Macaca fascicularis: one gene and its partners. The protein of the gene in region 3 interacts with the protein of the main gene of each other region in a biochemical or structural test. Links are inferred from orthologs where the notes say so. Each region holds a gene or a part of one and is shown on either strand. Other genes may lie near its edges.

The links.
Region 1: of the proteins of TRIM25 (region 3) and RIGI, one has a biochemical effect on the other in vitro, tested with the Homo sapiens proteins (5 studies listed by BioGRID, with this or other methods). The link is inferred for Macaca fascicularis from reciprocal best matches to the Homo sapiens genes TRIM25 and RIGI.
Region 2: of the proteins of TRIM25 (region 3) and ZC3HAV1, one has a biochemical effect on the other in vitro, tested with the Homo sapiens proteins (2 studies listed by BioGRID). The link is inferred for Macaca fascicularis from reciprocal best matches to the Homo sapiens genes TRIM25 and ZC3HAV1.

The regions. Positions count from the first base shown.
Region 1 is NC_088389.1:66,628,138-66,634,910, forward strand, and holds part of RIGI (antiviral innate immune response receptor RIG-I), read left to right. Parts: intron 1-4,088; coding exon 4,089-4,232; intron 4,233-6,710; coding exon 6,711-6,773.
Region 2 is NC_088377.1:180,750,084-180,756,856, forward strand, and holds part of ZC3HAV1 (zinc finger CCCH-type antiviral protein 1), read right to left. Parts: intron 4,405-6,773; coding exon 3,265-4,404; intron 2,815-3,264; coding exon 2,713-2,814; intron 1-2,712.
Region 3 is NC_088390.1:49,807,351-49,814,843, reverse strand, and holds the start of TRIM25 (E3 ubiquitin/ISG15 ligase TRIM25), read right to left. Parts: upstream 4,750-7,493; 5' UTR 4,690-4,749; coding exon 4,093-4,689; intron 2,883-4,092; exon of another isoform or gene 2,822-2,882; intron 1-2,821.

The DNA of each region.
Region 1 (6,773 bases), on a different chromosome or scaffold from region 3:
GTATAGCTGTAATAGTTTTAGCTTATTAGGATTTATACCTATTGCCTAGAGTAACACTTAAAATATTTGAGATTATTAGTATTTAATTGAATTTCAGTATATAATTGAATACCATTATAAGTGAATTTTTTAAAAACTTGGATGCCTGAAAGGCAAGGTTATATTTTCACCTTCTTTCCTGGTAACCTCTATTCTGCTTAAGTAGTGATTAGAACCATATCTGAAAAAACTAATTAAAAAAGAAAATTAAAATTGCTCATAGGAAAATGTGTATCATATAACCCAGGTATTTCAAATCTAGAAATTTGTCCAAAGGGAAATAATGGGATATAATGTAGCAGTTTTACAACAGTGAAAAATTGGATTAAAAACAGGAGGCCTGAACACCCTTTATTTTTACAAAAATAATGAAGATAATTTCAGGTGGGATGGGGCAAGAAGTGGGGAAGGGGAAATCACGTTTGGTTTTTAATTTTTAAATTATTTATTTCTTATTTATTTTTTTGAGACAGGGTCTCACTCTGTCTCCCAGGCTGGAGTGCAGTGGCGTGATCTTGGCTCACTGCAATCTCAGCCTCCAAAGTAGCTAGGACTACAGGTGTGTGCCACCACGCATCATTAATTTTTGTATTTTTAGTAGAGATGGTCTCTACAGCCCAGGCTGGTCTTGAACTCTAGACTCAAGTGATATGTCAGCCTTGGCCTCCCAAAGTGTCGGGATTACAGGCTGGGATTATAGGCATGAGCTACTGTGCCCAGCCAGTATATTTGGTTTTTTAAATCAAAACATTCTAGGTCTAGCTGGGCATGATGGCTCACGCCTATAGTCCCAGCTACATGGGAGGATCATTTAAGCCCAAGAGTTCAAGTCCAGCCAGGGCAACGTAGTAGGAATCTATCTCAAAAAGCGGGGGTAGGGGAAAGGAAGCCGGGTGTGGTGGCTTACACGTGTAATACCAGCACTTTGGGAGGCTGAGGTGGGTGGATAACCCGAGGTCAGGAGTTCAAGACCAGCCTAGCCAACATGGTGAAACCCCATCTCTACTAAAAATACAAAAATTAGCTGGATGTGGTGGCACCTGCCTGTAATCCCAGCTACTTGGGAGGCTGAGGCAGGAGAATCACTTGAACCCAGGAGAATCACTTGAACCCAGGAGTCGGAGGTTGCAGTGAGCTGAGATTGTGCCACTGTACTCCAGCCTGGGTGACAAAGTGAGACTCTGTCTCAAAAAAAAAAAAAAAAAAAAATCTAAATTTTTTTTTATATAAAGCAAATTTGAATTTGAAGTGGTATGGGAATCAGATTATCTATGTATGATCAGTAACCAACTAAAAGATATAAGGGGGAGGGAGATTTCCATTCACAGTGACAATAACTGCAGTTCATGCATGTAGAACACTGACTCTCCACTAGTCCCTGCAAATGCTTTACTTACATCAATAGGCTTTACAGCAATCCATATAGTAGTGCCTCCTATGTCATTTTATAGGCAGGAAACTGAGACTTGAATAGCTTCAGTGCCAGTAGATCACACAGCTAGTTCATGGCAGAGTTGGTAGAGCCCATCTGTTTAACCATTACATCTACCAGCCTAATCAGAAAAGTTTGAAGCAGAAATGAGGACAAATAAATTTTACTGGGAGATATTAAGATAAAAGAAATGCCATGCTCTTGAATGACTGAATATTTTAAACATGTGCATTCATCCCAAATTCGCTTATTCATGTATCACAAACCATATTGAAAGCATAAATATACTTTTAATTTGATAAAATGGTTCTAGAGTTTATATAAAATAATAAATAGATGAAAATAGCTATATTTCTAGAAAAATTAAAATGGGGGTAGCTAGTTGTTTTGTATTGATAAGGCAATCCCTAATGAATGGAGATTGCCTTATCAATACAAAACTACAAGCCACCCCATTACAACATTTTCATGGCTCTTAGCATAAGACTAGCCTAACAGAGGGAGGCAACGCTGATGGGCATTTACCCTGTGCTGGGCAGGCCTGAGCAGTCATAAGCTCATGTTATCTCCTGACAGTCCATGAAGCAGATGCTATCATCCCATTTTATATGTAAAGAAACGAGGCGCTTGCCCAAAATGACGTAGCTGCTAAGTGACAGGGACGCTATTTGCATCTAGGCTGTCTGGATCCACCTGGGACACTTGAAAGCATAGTCTGATATAGAGAGGCGCCACCATAAACCAGTGGGACGGACAGAATCTTCCATAGAAGACATGGAGGAAATCTGTGTTCTTTCTTCCTTCATGATGTTTCAGGGTTCCTTTTATCATTTCCTCTGTTTAGAAAACTTCCTTTAGCCAATATTTTAGGGTAAATCTGCTGATGACAGATTCTCAGTGTTCCTTCATCTGAGAATGTCTTCATTTCTTCCTTATTTTTGAAGGTGGCATCTTGCTGAGTCTAGGGTTCTGGGATGGACTGTTCTTTTCTTTCAGCATTTAAAAAATATTGTGCCACTTCCAGGTAGCCTCCATTGTTTCTAATGACAAATCTCCTGTTATTCAGACTGATTTCCCCCTATGGGTAAGATGTCTTTTTTTTTTTTTTTCCTCTGCTTTCAAGATTTTTTTCTTCAGTTTTCATAAGTTTAATTATAACGTGTCTCAGAGTGTTTTTTGAAGGTGTTTATCCTGTTTGGAGCTTGTTCAGCTTCTTGAATCTTGGTTGATGTAGCTTGTTAAATTTGGGATATATTTGGCTGTTATTTCTTTGAATACTTTTTAAGCCCTGCTCTTCTCTCCTTGCAGAACTCCAGTGCCATGACATCGTTTTTTATAGTCCTACAGGTCCTTGAGACTTTGCTTCCCCCCCTCCCAGTGTATTTTGTTGTTGTTTAGATTGGGTAATTTCTGTTGTTCTTTCAGATCACTGACTCTTTTCTTTGTCCCTTCCATTCTGCCACGGAAAGCCCATCCATTGACCTTTTTATTTTGGTTGTATCTTTCAGTTCTAAACTTTGTCTTCCATTTCATTGTTGAACCTTTATGTTTTCTCTTTATGTTTCAAAAGTATTTATAATTGTCCATCGAAGCATCTTTATTAGGGGCTTTAAAATCTTTCTCATCTTAGTGTTGGCATCTATGATTTTTTTTTCATTCAGTTTGAGATCTATTTATTGGTATGAAGAGTTTTATACTATCATGTCCATGGTTCTAAGTTGGACCATGTTCTTAGCCAAGGACTAGATTTTGAATTAGAATATAATCATACTACACATATGCAACAATATTCCCTGTGGCTGAAGGGGAGAGAGAAAAAAGGTTTTAGATGTTGAGGGCTGTATTAGTCTGTTTTTATGCCACCGACAAAGACATACCTGAGATTGGGAAAACAAAGAGGTTTAATTGGACTTACAGTTCCACATGGCTGGGGAGGCCTCAGAATCATGGTGGGAGGCAGAAGGCACTTCTTACATGGCAGCAGCAGGAGAAAAATGAGGAAGAAGCAAAAGTGGAAACCCCTGATAAACCCATCAGATCTCGTGAGACTTATTCACTATCATAAGAATAGCACAGGAAAGACTGGCCCCCATGATTCAATTACCTCTCCCTGGGTCTGTCCCATAACACACGGGAATTCTGGAAGATGAAAACAATTCAAGTTGAGATTTGGGTAAGGATACAGCCAAACCGTATCAGGGGCTCTTCTGCCTGCTGTATCACTCATTGGGTTTGTGCCTGCAAATGGATATAATTATGCCTGAAACAGTGCATATTGTATATCTGGTACAGGTTTTGCTTTTTTTCAAGTTTTGCAAAACACTAAAGTAGAAAGCATGGTTCATATGACTATTCTATGGACGTCTTTAGTGCTTTTATGAGCATTTTTGATGAAGAAATTCAAAGACTGGTTGGAGGCCACAATTAAACATTGACTAATATTAAGTTAGGAGAACCAATAAAATCTGTGATTTTACCAAGTCAGGTACCATATGTTCATGGAAGTTGTATATGAATGATTGTATATGTGCATGTATATGTATATATCTATCTGTGCCTGTTTCTCTCTATATGTGTTATACTCAAATTATATTTGAGGTCTTTATTTTTGCATTAGATTCTGCATATACAGACTCATGAAAAATTAATCAGAGATAGTCAAGAAAAACCAAAACCTGTACCTGATAAGGAAAATAAAAAACTGCTCTGCGGAAAGTGCAAAGCCTTGGTATGTTACACAGCTGACATAAGAGTGATAGAGGTAAGCTGCCTTTTTACAAAGTGCCTGGTCATGTTTTAGCACTAGCTAAAGCTTACTGTTGGTGAAATATTTATAGTAAAACTCTATTATTTCCATTGCTATTGTGGCCATGATCTGTGTATTTGAAAAAAAGCTAAGAAGTGAAAAAGAAATACTAAATGTTCAATAATAAAGTTTTTGGCCAGGCATAGTGGCTCACACCTGTAATCCAAACACTTTGGGAGGCCGAGGTGGGTAAATCACAAGGTCAGGAGTTCGAGACCAGCCCGGCCAACATGATGAAACCCTGTCTCTACTAAAAATACAAAAATTAGCTGGGCGTAGGGGCAGGCGGCTGTAATCTTAGCTACTCGGGAGGCTGAGGCAGGAGAATTGCTTGAACCCAGGAGGCAGAGGTTGCAGTGAGCCGAAATCACGCCATTCCACTCCAGCCCAGGTGACAGAGAGACTCCGTCACAAAAAAAAAATTAAAAAAAAAAAAAAAAAGCTGGGCATGGTAGCAAGAGCCTGTAGTTCCAGCTACTCAGGAGGCTAGGTGGGCTGATTGTTTGAACTTGAGAGATCAAGGCTGCAGTAAGCCATGATTGCACCACTGCACTCTAGTCTGGATGACAGAGTAAGACCCTGGCTCAAAAAAAGAAAAAAATAGTTTTAAAACATTGCTGTACAGCCACTTAATATTACACAGCCATTTAAAAAAAAGCCATTAAAGTGGTCAGGCCGAGCATGGTGGCTCATGCCTGTAATCCCAGTACTTTGAGGCAGGTGGATCACCTGAGGTCAGGAGTTCGAGACCAGCCTGGCCAACATGGCAAAACCCTCTCTCTACTAAAAATACAAAAATAAGCTGGGCATGGTGGTGGGCACCTGTAATCCCAGCTACTCAGGAGGCTGAGGCAGGAGAATCACTTGAACCCAGGAGGCGGAGGTTGCAGTGAGCTGATGTCGCACCACTGCACTCTAGTCTGGGTGACAGAGCAAGACTCTGTCTCAAAAAAAAAAAAAAAAAAAAAAAAAAAAAAAAGTCATGCTACATGCAATGAAGTGTCCTGGATTAGCTCCTGGAACAGATAAAGGATATGACTAGAGAAAGAGTGGTAAAATCTGTAGTTTAGATAATAGTAATGTACTGAGGTTAATATCTTGGTTTTGACAAATGTACTGTGGTATATGAAATGTTAGCATTTGGGGAAACTGGGCAAAGGGTATGCAGAAATTTTCTGGGATATCTTTGCAATTTTTCTGTAAATCTAAAATTGTTCCAAAGTAAAGTTTATTTTAAAGATTATGAAGTTTATGTAGTATAATGAAAAACTGCTTACAAACTAATGTGGAAAAAAGTAACCAGAACACAAAATTATAAAGATGCTACTTTATAGCTGTGTGAAACAGCAGCAAATACCATTGTCACTGTCAAGAAAAAGTCAAAAAACTTACCTTTCTACAGAAAAACAAAGGCTAGGGGAACTATACCAAAATGTATTAATATTTTGGTGGTGAGATTCCATGATCTTTTTCTCTTTCCCTAGTACTTTATGTTTTCCAAACATTCCTTTTGGGCTATGGATCACTTCTATAATGAAGAAAATATATCCTTATTTGTAAAATGTGACATCTGAAGGTTGGCTTTCTATTGCAGCCTTGTATTTTGTTCTTAAAACTTTCAGAAAAAGGGTTAGAAAAATCTCCAAAGAGAAATGTGGGGTATAACTGTCTTGCATGTGGGGTTACGGTGGAGGGGCTGGGCTGGCTCAGATGAGGAGTTATTACTTCAGGGTGTTCCATTCATCTTCAGAAAGCAGAAATCTCTCATCAGCTCAGCTGTTTGGGCAAAAAGCATATTAGGAGTCATATTGCTAAGTTCCCTTACCTTTCTAAGTCTGCTGCTTTAGCGTAAAAGGTCCTTTTAGCTCCAATTTGGGTGATTATTCTACTAAAAATGGCCCTTTTAGACCCTATGTTTTCCTGAGGGACTAGTATGTTGGATCTGCATTTGTTTGAGCCGTTTACTCTAAAGTTGACTCTAGGTGGGGCCTGTGAACACGTTAGTCCCTGACCTTCTTCAATTGCACCTTGACCTTGGTCATTTTCCCTGTATCCTTTGGATTGTGCCTGCTAGGGCCACTGGTGAACTTCAGCTTCACAGATTTTCAACAAACATCGCTTGTGTTTTTGAATAATAAGTATCTACCTTCAGAAGCTGGGTTACCTGGGTCTTTCTTAATCTTCCTCTCTATGAGGTGCCCAGTGTCTCACTTGCAACACTACCCTGCCTGTAGAAGGGAGTCAGGTGCATGGATCGTCCTCTGGACTTTAGGTGAATCCATATTTGTTTTCCTCCAATTGTAAAATAAGTGAGACCCACCTATTCTTCATCTCAGATTATTGTGGAGTTCTCTCTTTTTTTTTTTTTTAATCACAATTATGTACTGGTTCTAATGTTCTCTTTTGTGTGTTATTCCATCCCTTTATCTGTAGGAATGCCATTACACTGTGCTTGGAGATGCTTTTAAGGAATGCTTTGTGAGGAGACCACATCCC
Region 2 (6,773 bases), on a different chromosome or scaffold from region 3:
TTCACTGCCAGCTTTCCCCATCCATTCCTGCCTGCCCCCTGCCAGACAGGTCCCATCTATACCTGCTGACATTGCCGTGTGTCCATTTTCCAGGTTCCTTCATTACCTTGGAGATGCATCAGAAAACAAAAGTTCAGGCCAGGTGTGGCGGCTCACGCCTGTAATCCCACCACTTTGGGAGGCCGAGACAGGCAGATCAATTGAGGCCAGGAGTTCAAGACCAGCCTAGCCAACATGATGAAATCCTGTCTCTACTAAAAATACAAAAATTAGCCAAGCATGCTAGTGAGTGCCTGTAATCCCAGCTACTTGGGAGACTGAGGCAGGAGAATCACTTGAACCTGGGAGGTGGAGGTTGCAGTGAGCCGAGATCACTCCACTGCACCGCAGCCTGGGTGACAGAGTGAAATTCTGTCTCAAAAAAAAAAAAAAAACACAAAACAAAACAAAAATTCTCCACTACCCCCAAAGTCACTCTATCCAGATAGAAATATGAGGTGGCCGGGCGCAGTGGCTCAAGCCTGTAATCCTAGCACTTTGGGAGGCCGAGACAGGCGGATCACGAGGTCAGGCGATCGAGACCATCCTGGCTAACACGGTGAAACCCCGTCTCTACTAAAAAATACAAAAAACTAGCCGGGCGTGGTGGCGGGTGCCTATAGTCCCAGCTACTCGGGAGGCTGAGGAAGAAGAATGGCATGAACCCGGGAGGCAGAGCTTGCGGTGAGCTGAAATCTGGCTACTGCACTCCAGCCTGGGTGTCAGAGCGAGACTCTGTCTCAAAAAAAAAAAAAAAAAAAGAAATATGAGGTAATCAGAAATTTAGTTACCCTTTCTGCACCCCCCCAAGTGTATTAAGCCAAAATGCTCTCCAGCAGAGGCAACAGCCTGTATTTCCTTGAAGCCCTGGCCTACAGTTCATCTCTTCCAGAAAGATTCTCCTAACGAATCTCACTCCATCTCCATCTGACTTGTATTTTCTGCATTCCTTTAGCCAGTACCCAATACTCAGTTGGGGGTTAATTTTGTATACGTTTTTACTTACTGCACACAGTTTTCTCATTTGCGGATTTTTTGTTTGTTTGTTTTTGTTTTTGTTTTGAGGCAGAGTCTCACTCACTCTGTCGCCCAGGCTGGAGTGCAGTGGCGCGATCTTGGCTCACTGCAACCTCCACCTCCCGGGTTCAAGAGATTCCCCTGCCTCAGCCTCCCGAGTAGCTGGGATTACAGGCCTGTGCTGCCACGCCCGGCTAACTTTTGTATTTTTAGTAGAGATGGGTGTTCACCATGATGGCCAGACTGGTCTTGAACTCCTGGCCTCAAGTGATCTATCTGCCTCAGCCTCCCAAAGTTCTGGGATTACAGGCGTAAGCCACCGTGCCTAGCATTTTATGGATATTTTCATGCCCTACCTTAATTACAAAGTCACTAAAGAGAAGGCTGCACTATGGTTTAGCTTACATCCCCTTTGCATATTTGGCACAGGGCTAGGCATAAAAAAGATACCCATTGCAGAAATGCCGGCTAAAGAATGAATAGATGTTATAAGCTACAATACAGGAAGATAGAAAATAGTTCTGTTTTTCAAAATTTGCATTATATTATGTTTAAATTGTTTTGAAATACTCAAAATAAAGATGTGTGACAGCTCTAAAACAAACTAACAAAAAAGACAAGTTTAGACACTGCAGGGACACCCATAGAGTGGCCCCACTTGAGACTTGGCTGATTGAAAAGTACATAACCACTCATTATAGTCCACAACTCACACTTGTTAGAATGGCTGCTATCAAAGACAAACAGTTACTGGGCGCAGTGGTTCATGCCTGTAATCTCAGCACTTTAGAAGGCCGAGGCGGGTGGATCACTTGAGGTCAGGAGTTCAAGACCAGTCTGGCCAATGTGCCAAAACCCCGTCTCTACCAAAAATACAAAAGTTAGCCGGACGTGGTGGCACACGCCTGTAATCCCGGCTACTTGGGAGGCTGAGGCATGAGAATCACTTGAACCCAGGGGGCAGAGGTTGCAGTGAGCTGAGATTGCACCGCTGCACTCCATCCTGGGTGACAGAACGAGACTTCGTCTCAAAACAAACAAACAAACAAAAAAGGCAAACAAATACACACAAAAAGAACAAGTGTTGGTGAGGATGTGGAGAAATGTGAACCCTTGTGCATTGCTGGTGGGAAAGAAAAATGGTACAGCCACTATGAAAAATAGTTCCGCGGCCGGGCACGGTGGCTCAAGCCTGTAATCCCAGCACTTTGGGAGGCCGAGACGGGTGGATCACGAGGTCAGGAGATCGAGACCAGCCTAGCTAACACGGTGAAACCTCGTCTCTACCAAAAAAATACAAAACACTAGCCGGTTGAGGTGGCGGGCGCCTGTCGTCCCAGCTACTCGGGAGGCTGAGGCAGGAGAATGGCATGAACCCGGGAGGCGGAGCTTGCAGTGAGCTGAGATCCGGCCACTGCACTCCAGCCTGGGCGACAGAGCGAGACTCTGTCTCAAAAAAAAAAAAAAAAAAAGTTCCGCAAAAAAAAAAAAAATTAAAAGAAGTACTGTATGATCCCCCAACTCCACTTCTGTGTATATATCTAAAAGAATTGAAAGCCAGGTTTTGAGAAGACATTTGCACACCCATGTTCATAGCAGCGTTATTTACAATGGCCAAAAGGTAGAAGCTTACAGAAAAGTCCTTAGGTTACTCACCATTAAACGGACAACCCTTATACAGATGGTCAAGACAAATTTCCTTTGAGCCATGATCATCCACCCTAGAAGATGTGGTACTTGTGACATCAGATAAAGAATCTATGAAACAAAAAAGGATGCATGTATGCTGATTGTAATGTTTAAACCAAAAATCAAGGCACTTGGTCTCACAATGGGAAAGAATATCTGAAATGCAGGCCATGTTCAAGAAAATTCTTATGATTTATGTGTTTCTCATGAGTGTCTAGACAGCCCCTCCATAAAACAAAAATGTGGACCTCAGAGTCCTGTGAAAGTTGTGTTTATTTCTTAAATCATAGTTGAAATATTCCTATTGTCAGTAAATGTGGCAGCTTATTCCCTGTGGTTCTACTGGTTGGTCGTTCCCTGTCTTCACTAGTCAACCTCCTCACCAGACCACCCCTTAACCAAAACCCTCTAACTCTTTACCCTTTAAGAACTGGGGAACATGGAAGGAAAACCCAGCAGCCATAGCCACTCTGCTGCAGACTCGAGACACAGGGGTCCGTTTGTCCTTCAGTGACTTACACTGAGCAGAGCCTGTTGTCTTCCTTGTGAGCTCACTGGCAGGGGAAACAGGAACCTGGGTGCAGTTCTGCCCCTGGGCCCTCCATACTGCAGCTCTGTTGCTTGAGGAAAGCGCAGCAGGTGACTGAGGCAGAGTGCTGACTTGTGCAGAGGCAGTGGATTCCCCAGGTGTGGTGGGGACCAGGCTCCTCAGACTCTGACTTCCAGAACGTAACTTATCTTTCTCCACCATGACTGCCATTGTGAAGCCAAAACCAGTGGCACCAGTTTTTTCTACGTCAGTAGTTTTATCTGCCACTTGACTAGAGCCATTTGGTGTATCGTGAACAAATGCACTAGCCCCAAGTTTCTTCCCTTTGTATTTACCATTAACAAGTGCCACTCTTGGGCCAGCATCATCTGTGATTCTGCCAGTGGCCTGAACATCTCGGGAAGCAGGTCCAGCATCCTGAGTCCTAGGTGTTGATATTTCTCTCTGACTGCTGCTTGTGCTTTTGTAATTTAAGGATCTGGTAGAAGTTGTATCTGTGGCCACTCCATCAGCATTATTATTAAAAAGAGGGCCAGGCTGGACGTCCTGAGTTCCACTTTTGCCATTGATGTTCCTGTAGTCTGAGGAAAGCAAGCCTGCGCCCTTTCTGGTGGTCACAGCTTCAGGTGTTTGCAGAGAGCCAAGAGAAGAGAGGGCGGCAGGCAGCGTGGGAGGAAACACGGCCTTTCTCCTGGCGCCTTGGTCGTTCGTCCAGGATGTGGGGCTCTTCCACTTGGGGGCTGGTGTTGAATTGGAAGCAAGGTAAGTGTTGCCTGGATTTCCATGCAAGAGGTCCTCTTGACTGCCGTTCTCTAAAAACCTCCGGCTTGCTCCGGCCTGACTTGTTCCTCCGAGATCGGTAGCCTTGGACGAGCCTGAGGGAGGCCGAGCGCGATCCTGACTCCCCAGATACGTGAACTTGTGGGTGAGATCATCCACAGGCGTGTCCTCCAGGGAAGCCCTGTGGCTGCTCGGATCTGGACTAGGCGTGCAGGACCTCTCAGCAGACGCTGAAGCAGACGCAAGAAATTCTTGGCTGCCCTGAAAGAACCGATCTCGGCTTTTGCTTCTAGCCCTATACGCCATGTTTCTACGATGTGAAGAAGGAGCTAGGGGAGAAAAAGCCAAAATGAAACAAAGTAGTGAACACTGGAGTTAATGTAACTGAGTTCCTACCACCCTTCCTCCTCTTTGCTTTTCCAGCCTTGCTATCCAAGTGCTATCAAATTACTTGGCCTAATCTGATGTGTAAAAATCTTGAAGATGGGTGGTTTGACGTGTAAAAATCTTGAAGGTGAGTGGTTTGACAATGACGGGAAATTTTTTTTTTTTTTTTAAGAGATGGAGTGTTGCTCTGTTGCCCAGGCTGGAATGCAGTGGCCCGACCACAGCTCACTGCAACCTCGAACACCTGGGCTCCAGCGATCCTCCCGCCTCAGCCTCCTTAGTAGCTGGGACTACAGGTGCTCACTGACTGTGTCAGTTGATGAAAGAATCCTGACATTCTGCCTGCACGGCAGAGCATGTCATTCCATGGCCTAGGATGATAGTGAGACCCAGGCTCTCTTCTGGGACTCAAAGTAGCCCCCAAACCCCAAAACTTTTAGGTGGGGCTGTCCACTATCTCCTGGTCCTGAGTCAACATTCACCACTGTGGTCAATGGAGAGAGACAGATTAGGGCAAATCAGAGAAGATTTTCCAGAAAGCATTCAATTTTGCCCATATTGTGATATGGGTGTACCTGGCTATTGACAGATTCACAATGCTTCAAACAAACCAACAGAAAATGAAACCACAGTCTAAAGGCCTGACTTTGTTTAAGCCGGAAATTTTCCTAGTTTTCTTCATCCCACTCCATAAGGCCAAAGTGTATCAGAAGTCAACATCGACAAAGCAGTGTGGCCTGGAGGGAACTGGCCTCCCTCTAGAAATTTGACAGGTCACACCCTCCTGGAAGCAGGGAGGAAGGAAGGAGTAGGGTGTGTTTGTGAGCACGTGTGGAGTGTGTGTGTGGCGTGCGTGCGTGTGATGTTTATGTGGGGGGTGTGTGTGTGTGTGCTGGGGGTACATGTGGAAGACGCGCATGTCTGTGTTTGAGGCACATGTGCACGTGTGGTGTGTGAATGTGAGGTGAGCACGTGTGCTCGTGTGTGTGTGAGTTGTGTTTTTTGTGTGGAGAAGGGGTAGAAGAGACGTTTTTTCTCTTCCAAACCCCAGGGGGCAGCAGTAATGTAGTAAAAGCAAACACCCTCCTCCTGTCAAGAAAAGGCTTCACTCGGGAGATTAACTAGAAGTGAAAACATATACAGATCTTTCTCATTCACAGTAAGTTTACATTGAGAAGCTACCACCAAAACCCATCCCTCCAGACGTTCCCCTGTTCCGAGGCCACTGTAGTGTGGGAGAAAAAACATTAGATATGGGATCAGAACATGCACTCTGCTACTTTCTAGTGGTGTGAGGTCTTGAAAATGTTACCTTTTATTTCTTCATTATATTATCCTTCATTCGTCTAAAAATGAGCTGAGACTGCTTGCAATAGAAGTTTCTTAATATTTCTGAGTCTCAGTTTCTTTTCCCCCTTAAGTAAGGCTAATAAATGACATATCTGCCTTTCTTTGTGGTTTCACTGTGAGGAACAATGATGAAATATTTATTTGGGGTGAAAGTCCCTTGTAAATGATAAACCATTTCCCAAATATAAGGAAATTTAATTGTTCATTACTTTGCACAGAATCTTAGAATCATGTATTCTATCTGCTTTATAAAATTCACCTTTTCTACATCCACTTCATAAAGACATTAAAAATGAATGTCATTATATAATATGAAAATGCTTCAGAAATAGGAGCACTTGGCTGGGCACAGTGGCTCATGCCTGGAATCCAAGCACTTTGGGAGGCTAAGGTGGGTGGATCACTTGAGGTCAGGAGTTCAAGACCAGCTTGGCCAATATGTTGAAACCCTATCTCTACTAAAAATACAAAAATTAGCTGGGCATGGTGGCAGGCACTTCTAATCCCAGCTACCTGGGAGACTGAGGCAGAAGAATCACTTGAACCCAGGAGGCGGCCATTGCAGTGAGCTGAAGTCACACCACTGAACTCCAGCCTGGGTGACAGAGTGAGACACTGTCTCAAAAAAAGAAAAAAAAAAAAAGTAATAATAGCACTTCATACTCCTTAGGATGGCTATTATTTAAAAAAAAAAATCAGAAAACACGAAATGATAGAGGATGTGAGAAATGTGAACCCGTGTGCATTGCTGGCAGAAATGAAAAATGACACAGCTGCTACAAAAAAAGGTATGATCATTCCTCAAAAACTTAAACATAGAATTACCATGTGATTCAGCAATTCTACTTCAGATTATACACCCCCAAAGAACTGAAAACGGGGTCTCAAAGTGGCTTCTGTGCACCATATTTACAGCAGCATTATTCACAATAGTCAAACTGGAAATGACCCAAATGTCCAT
Region 3 (7,493 bases):
CCAGAACAAAGCTGGGAGCCTTTGTCAGCCTCACAGGGCAGGGAGACAGAAACCAGAGTCCAAGGCTCACTGTAGACTGGGACCACCAAGGGCTGGGAAGATGAATCAGCCAGCCAGGCGCAGTGGCTCATGCCTGTAATCCTAGCACTTTAGGAGGCCCAGGCAGGTGGATCATTTGCACTCAGGAGTTCGAGACCAGCTTGGGCAACATGGCAAAACCCTGTCTGTACTAAAAATACAAAAATTAGCCAGGCATGGTGGTGCACACCTGTAGTCCCAGCTACTTAGGGGGCTGAGGCAGGAGGATCGCTTGAATCCGGAAGGTTAAGGCTGCATTGAGTCGAGATGGCATCACTGCACTCCAGCCTAGGTGACTAAGTGAGACCCTATCTCAAAAAAAAAAAAAAAAAAAAAAAGATGAAGCAGCTCACAGGGGCTGAAGCCCAGCCGCAAATCTGCTCAATCCTAGCCACCTCCAGAAACAAAGGCAAACTGTATATGAAGGAAGCTAGTATCCTCATCTGATTTCTATTAATTTTCATAATCAATATCTAAGTCTCCTACCTCCTTGCTCAGATGAAATAATGGGGCACAGAAATGGGAAGGCAAATCACCACTGCTGTAACAAGAGCAGCTAGTATTTATTATGCACTTACTGTATGCCAGGCATGGTTCTAGTGCTTTACCTGTATTAACTTACTTAAAGCTAAGAACAACACTATGAGGTAGGAATTATGTAGCCTTTACAGACAAAGACACTGAGGCATGGAACAATTAAGTGACTTGCCCCAGCTACACTACTAGTGACTGGCACATCTAAGATCCTGATATTAAAATCATAGACACATGTCCAAACTGAGCATGCTGGAGATTTCCAGAAAAAAACCATTTCCTTCCCGAAACTAGCAGACTCAACATACTCTAGCCCTGTCTTCCATTTTCCAGACTCTTCAACTCCACCCAAGATATTCTGGGCGGAACCTGATCTTGAATCTGGATTTGAACAACCCAATGACAGTCACATGTAGGGGCTGGAGGCAGGGACCAAGGCCACACTAACTCAATCCAAAAAGCCCAAGCTGCTCATGATGTTTCAAACTTGACCTCTGTGACACCGCCCTTCGACCTGGCCTCTAACAGTGGCCAAGATAAGGTGTGGGCCAAAGACCAGGCCTACATACATCCGGCCTTGCTGGCCTCCGAGCAGGAAGAGACCTCATAACACCCCAAGGCTGCCAACTGCTTCACTTTCAAGAGCTGCTCATAGCACTACACCCTGAGCCCTGTGTTTTGAAAGATTTGATGCACCATTAATCAAACACATGCAGCAGTACCCTCATCATGAATGGTGCCCACATGACTCCAGACCAAAGGAAAGTGACCCGAAAACTTTGGTAGCAGCAATAATCCCCTAATCAAAGGTAAAGGACTTTTTGAAATTCTGAGGATCCCTTCACAGACTGGAGACTTGGGTCTTCCACATGGGAGGCACCAGAGTCTCAAGTCCGCCCATACCAGTGGCCAAGACAACCCAACCCCCAAGGCCAAGGGCATTGCCCAGCTGAGACTGGCTCTGCCAACAGTGATGGGCAGCAGTAGCAGGGCTCAAAAAGCAGACCTGTTATAGGACTCAGCAAGTCAGGACAGCAGGGCAGGCGTTGGCAGAGGAAGGCCTGTTGTTAGGAATAAACAGCAGAGTTTAGGCCAGGCTCCTGGCTCACGCCTGTAATCCCAGCATTTTGGGAGGCTGAGGTGGGAGGATCCCTTGGGGTTGGGAGTTCAAGACCGGCCTGGACAACATAGTGAGATCCTGTCTCTACAAAAAATGTTTTAAAATATTAGCTGGCTGTGGTGGCACGCACTTGTAGTCCTAGCTACTCAGGAGGCTGAGGCAGGAGGATCACCTGAGTCCAGGGTTTAAGGTTATAGTGACCTATGATCATGCCACTGTACTCAAGCCTGGGTGACAGAGTGAAAACCTGTCTCTAAAAGAAAAGATTAAAAAATATATATATATGGGCTGGGCATGGTGGCTCACACTTATAATCCCAGCACTTTGGGAGGCCAAGGTGGGTGGATCACAAGGTCAGGACTTTGAGACCAGCCTGGCCAATATGATGAAACCCAGTCTGTACTAAAAATATAAAAATTAGCTGGGCATGGTGGCACACGCCTGTAGTCCCAGCTACTCAGGAGGTTGAGGCAGGAGAATCGCTTGAACCAGGAGGCGGAGGTTGCAGTGAGCTGAGACCGCACCACTGCACTCCAGCCTGGCAACAGAGCAAGACTCCGTCTCAAAAAAAAAAAATCTGATTTTACAGCCAGGCCGGGTGGTAGCACACCTGTAGTCCCAGCTACTCGGGAGGCTAAGATGGGAGGAGCATTGAGGCCAGGAGTTCAAGACCAGCCAAGGCAACATAGTGAGATCCTGTCTTTACACAAGAATTTTTTATAACTTAGCCAGGTGTGGTGGCTCACATTTGTAGTACTACCTACTCAGGAGGCTGAGGCAAGAGGATCACCTGAGCCCAGGAGTTGGAGATTACAGTGAGCTATGATCACCCCACTGTACTCCAGCCTGGGTGACAAAGTAAGATCCTGTCTCTAAAAGAAGGAAAAAAAAAAAGCCAAGTTTATAGCCAGGCATGGTGGCACACCTGTAGTCCCAGCTACTCAGGAGGCTGAGATGGGAGGATCCCTTGAGGCCGGAAGTTCAAGAACAGCCTAGGCAACATAGCAAGACCCTGTCTCTAAAAGGAAAAAAAAAAAAAAGCCAAGCTTATATGCTACACAAAGCTGGATGCAGACCCCCAACTCTGACCTTGCTCAGGCTACTGTCTCCTTTGACAACACGAAGACGGGTCTTGTTCTCCCTGAAGGTGCTGTGAGAATGAAATGAAATCAGGCCATGCTTTGGATCTTAGGCTGATGTAACAAAAGGTGGTTTGATTTCAGCCTCTGCTTTGAGTCCACAAGGGAAAGGTATGATCCCCAGACAACCTAAAAACATTGCAGACCTGAAAGGCCCTTAGGAATCCACCTAGTCCCACAGCCTCACTATACTGGTGAGGACCCAGGTCCAGGGGCCAAACCCTGTGCTCAAAGTCACACGGCCAGGACAGAGGACACTATGGTGCAAGAGTGTTGGCTCTCCCTGTGGTTCTGATCCAGTGATTACTGGGAGGCTGCCCACCCTCCCTCTTAGGCCTCTAATAACAACCCTTCCTGATCACACGAACTCTCCGGCCCACCAAAGGCTTTTGCTTACATGACCTCAAGCTTCCTGGGCTGTTTGGTGCTCCAGACTCTACGGACCTGGATACGAGGCTGGTCCATGGGGAGAAATGCAAACTATGAAATCGAACCAACCTGGGCCGCAATGCTTGCGTGGCCATTTACTGCATTAGGTCAGGCTAAGTTCATTTCTCTGAACCTCAGTATCCTCAAGAGTAAAATGAAACTAAATCATATCCACCTCCTGGGTGCCACCAGGACTTCGTGAAGGAACAGAGGTTACCTCCAAGGTTCATAGTTGACATTCAAAACCCTCTACTAAACACCATCAGATGGTGGGGTGCAGTGGCTCACGCCTTTAATCCTAGCGCTTTAGGAGGTAGAGGTGGGCAGATCGCTTGAGCTCAGGAATTTGAGACCAGCCTGGGCAACATGGCGAAACCTCATCTCTACAAAAAGGTAAAAAAATTAGCGAGTCTGTGGTCCCAGCTACTCTTGAGGCTGAGGTAGGAGGATCCCTTAAGTCCGGGAAGTCAAGGCTGCAGTGAGCTGTGATTCTGCCACTGCACTCCAGCTTGGGTGAGAGGGACGACACCCTGTCTCAAAAAAAATAAAAATAAACACCATCAGACAAAGACAGGCTTATGGCAAGCAACCTAACCTGTCTTCATGGATGATGGCAGAGGACTATATAATCTCCCAGCCCCTTTCTACTCTGACATTGGAGATGCCCCGGCCTCGAATTCAGGCCCATCTCCCCCAGGGCGTCCAGAGGGTGGCAGAGAGGCCCCCGGTGGCCCCTCTGCACCACCCAGCAGGCCCAGGCTGCCCTCTGCGCCCTCCCGGGCCATTCGTTACCTCCAGGTTGGCGCTGGCCTGGCTCAGGGACGCGGGAGAGCAGGCCTTATGCTCTACCAGGCAGATGTGGCAGATGCACTCGCCGTGCTCGGGGCAGAAAAACTCTCGCAGCCGGTTGTGCTGGGAACATTTGCGGCGCAACAGGTCGCGAACTGGAGACTGCAGCGGATGGTCCTGGAAGGCGGGGCTGTCGAAGTGCGGCTGCAGGTGCTCCTGACAGAAGGAGGCCATGCACACCAAGCATGTCTTCACGGCGGCCTCCTTCAGGCAGTGGTCGCAAGCCACCTGGGCACCCGGGCTGGGTGCAGAGGCGCGGGCGGGCGGCGTCCAGCCGTCGGCGGGTGGCTCCCGGGCCAGCTCGGCCTGCAGGAACTGCTCCACCACGTTGCACAGCACAGTGTTCTTGTGCAGCTGCGGTCGCGCCTGGTAAACGGCGCGGCACTGCGGGCACAAGTATGGGGCGCCCTGGACGGCCCACGTCTCGTTCAGGCACGAACCGCAGAAGTTGTGGCCGCACGGAGTGGTGACCGGCTCCTTGAAGGGCTCCAGGCAGATGGAGCACGACAGCTCCTCGGCCAGGGGGCACAGCTGTGCCATGATGCTCCCAGGGGTCGAGACGCGACTACTGCAACCGCGCTCCGAGGCTGCCGAGGAAACGAAACCTAGCCCGGGAAGGGCAGTCCCTGCAGCCGTCAGGAAGTCACGTGGGGCGCGGAGGGGCGGGCGGCGAGGACTGGTCGGGCCTCGCGAGGTACCCTCGAGAGCCTGCGGGCACCGAAGTGCCAGTTGCCCACGAAGTGGCGAAGGTCGGCCGCGCTGCGAGCCTCGAGAGCTCCCGCGGGCTGGGCGCGGGACGCTGGGCTCGGCCTTAGCCCCCGGGGTTTAGAGCATCCTCGCGACCACCCGGAGGCTTCTGGGGGCCACTCTGCGGATGAGGAAGCTGACGACTGGGTGCAGAACCCCGGACCCCCAGATTCAGAGCCCAGGTCCAGTCGCGCTTCCGCACAAACTTGCGCCCGGAGCAAGTCCCCTCCTTCCCAGCACTCATCTGAGACCAGAGGTGTTCCCATAACTATGGGGCAAGCTTTAAAAAAAGCAAAAAAAAAAAAAAAAAAAAAAAAGGAAACCTGTAGGAACTGTTAAACCACAATGCTTTTTTCTTCTTCTTTTTTTAATCCTTCCTCTTTCCTCGTCCCGGATTGGGACATGCGAACATACAGTCCCTGAAGACTGGAGCCCATAGTCACACACTCAGATTTAAACCTGGTGATTTATTTCCATTCTACTGATATATCATGCTTTTATAAAAATTCCCATTTCTACTTTCCTGGGATTTGGAGTTACCCAGTTTAACAAAGGCTTTCTCTCTCCTTCTCTCTCTCTCTCTCTCTTTCTCTCTCTCTCTCTCTCTCTCTCTCTCTCTCACACACACACACACACACACATAATATTGGAACTTAAATATTTTTCTCAAAGTTACTGATTTAAAGTTACTTCCTTTAATACTTTCTTTTGCTCTGTTTTCCCTCCTCTGGCTTGACTGCAGGACGTATGGGTGGACTGGAGAGTAGAAGTGTTCAAAAGAGGTGGGGATTGGCCGGTCCCAGTGGCTGATGACTGTAATCCCAGCACTTTGGGAGGCCGAGGCGGGTGGATCACGAGGTCAAGAGATCGAGACCATGCTGACGAAAACTGTGAAACCCTGTCCCTACTAAAAATACAAAAAAATTAGCCGGGCGTGGTGGCGAACGCCGGTAGTCCCAGCTATCGGGGAGGCTGAAGCAGGAGAATGCAATGAACCCGGGGGATGCAGCTTGCAGTGAGTGGAGATGGCGCCACTGCGCTCCAGCCTGGGCAACAGAGCGAGTCTCGTCTCAAAAAAAAAAAAAAAAAAAAATGCCGGGGGGGCTGGTGGCAAAGAGAAAGATGGTGTTTTGGAAGGAATTAGTTGGAGTTTGCTTTGGGGACAGAGTGGGTAGCAAAATGAGGAAAAGATAAATGTCTTAGTTTACCTTGTAATAGCTACTCTTTATGGGGTACCCACTGTGTGCTAGATAAGTCACATGGTTATCTCTTATTATCCTTATAAACCCTGCAAGACAGCCAGTCCATTTTAGGAATGAGAGTCTCAATTTATATAAAACAGGACGGGGATTGTAGCTCAGAACCGCTGACCTCCACATTGTCACTCACTCCTGATTCCCCTAATTCTTGTTCTGCAGGCTCCTTTTCCCCTAAAACCTTTTACCATTTACCTTTTTATTCTTTTTCCCTTCTTTCTTTCTTCTTTTCTTCTTTCTTTCTTTTAGACAAGGTTTTGCTCTGTTGGCTAGGGTGTGGCACTATCATAGCTCATTACAGCCTCCACCTCCTGGGATCAAGCAATCCTCCCACTTCAGCCTCCCAAGTAGCTGGGAATACAGGCACGTGCCACCACACACAGCTAATTTTTAAAACTTTTTTTTGTAGAGACAAGGTCTCTCTATGTTGCCTGGGCTCATTTTGAACTTCTGACCTCAAACAACCCTCTCACCTCAGCCTCCCGAAGTGCCAAAATTACAGGCGTGAGCCACCATGCGCCTGTCCCACGTCTTGTTTGCACAGAGAGGAGGAATACAGAAGAATGAGGGGATCGGAAATGAAAACTATGCATAGTATCTCATTTCATCAAAAAAAAAAAAGTCACAGATGAGGAAACCGAGGCTTAGAGAAACTAAATAACTTGTCTAAGAGTGGACATTGGCACGTAACCCATCTGCTTTCTGAAGCCAAGAGTTTCCTACCATAAAATGCTGCCTCGCAAGGGAGGAGTGGAGCAGTTTCCAGGAAACACTGTGAAATCCCCTCTGACCTATTTATCATGGGTGAGGTGGCGTGGTGATTCATGCCAGAATGTGGAATTCACTTTCCAGGCTGATTGGTTTAGAAGGCCTTGTTAGACCAATGAGGATGAATAGGAGGGCCATACTTTATCAAATTCCAAGCAGTAGATATTTACTAAGACCTACTGTGCAATAGGCATGCAACAGACTGAGTGCTAAATGAGTAAGATGTGAGTCAAACATGGGTCTGCCTTCTAAAACAGGAAGAAGACAACAACATAAAGCAGTAAAGAGGAATATGGGGAGAAGTCAGGTCCTGCTAGGGGTATGGATTCCTCATATGGACAGTAAGAATCCCAATAATACCTTCTTCATGGGACGTTCTGGAATAAAAATGAAACGCATGAGTCAGCCACAGTGGCTTACATTTGTAATTCCAGCACTTTGGGAGGATGAGGCAGGTGCATCACTTGAGGTCAGGAGTTCGAGATCAGCCTGGTCAACATGGTGAAAACTCCATCTCTACTAAAAATACAAAACTTAGCCAGGCATGGCAGCGGGCGCCTGTAATCCCAGCTA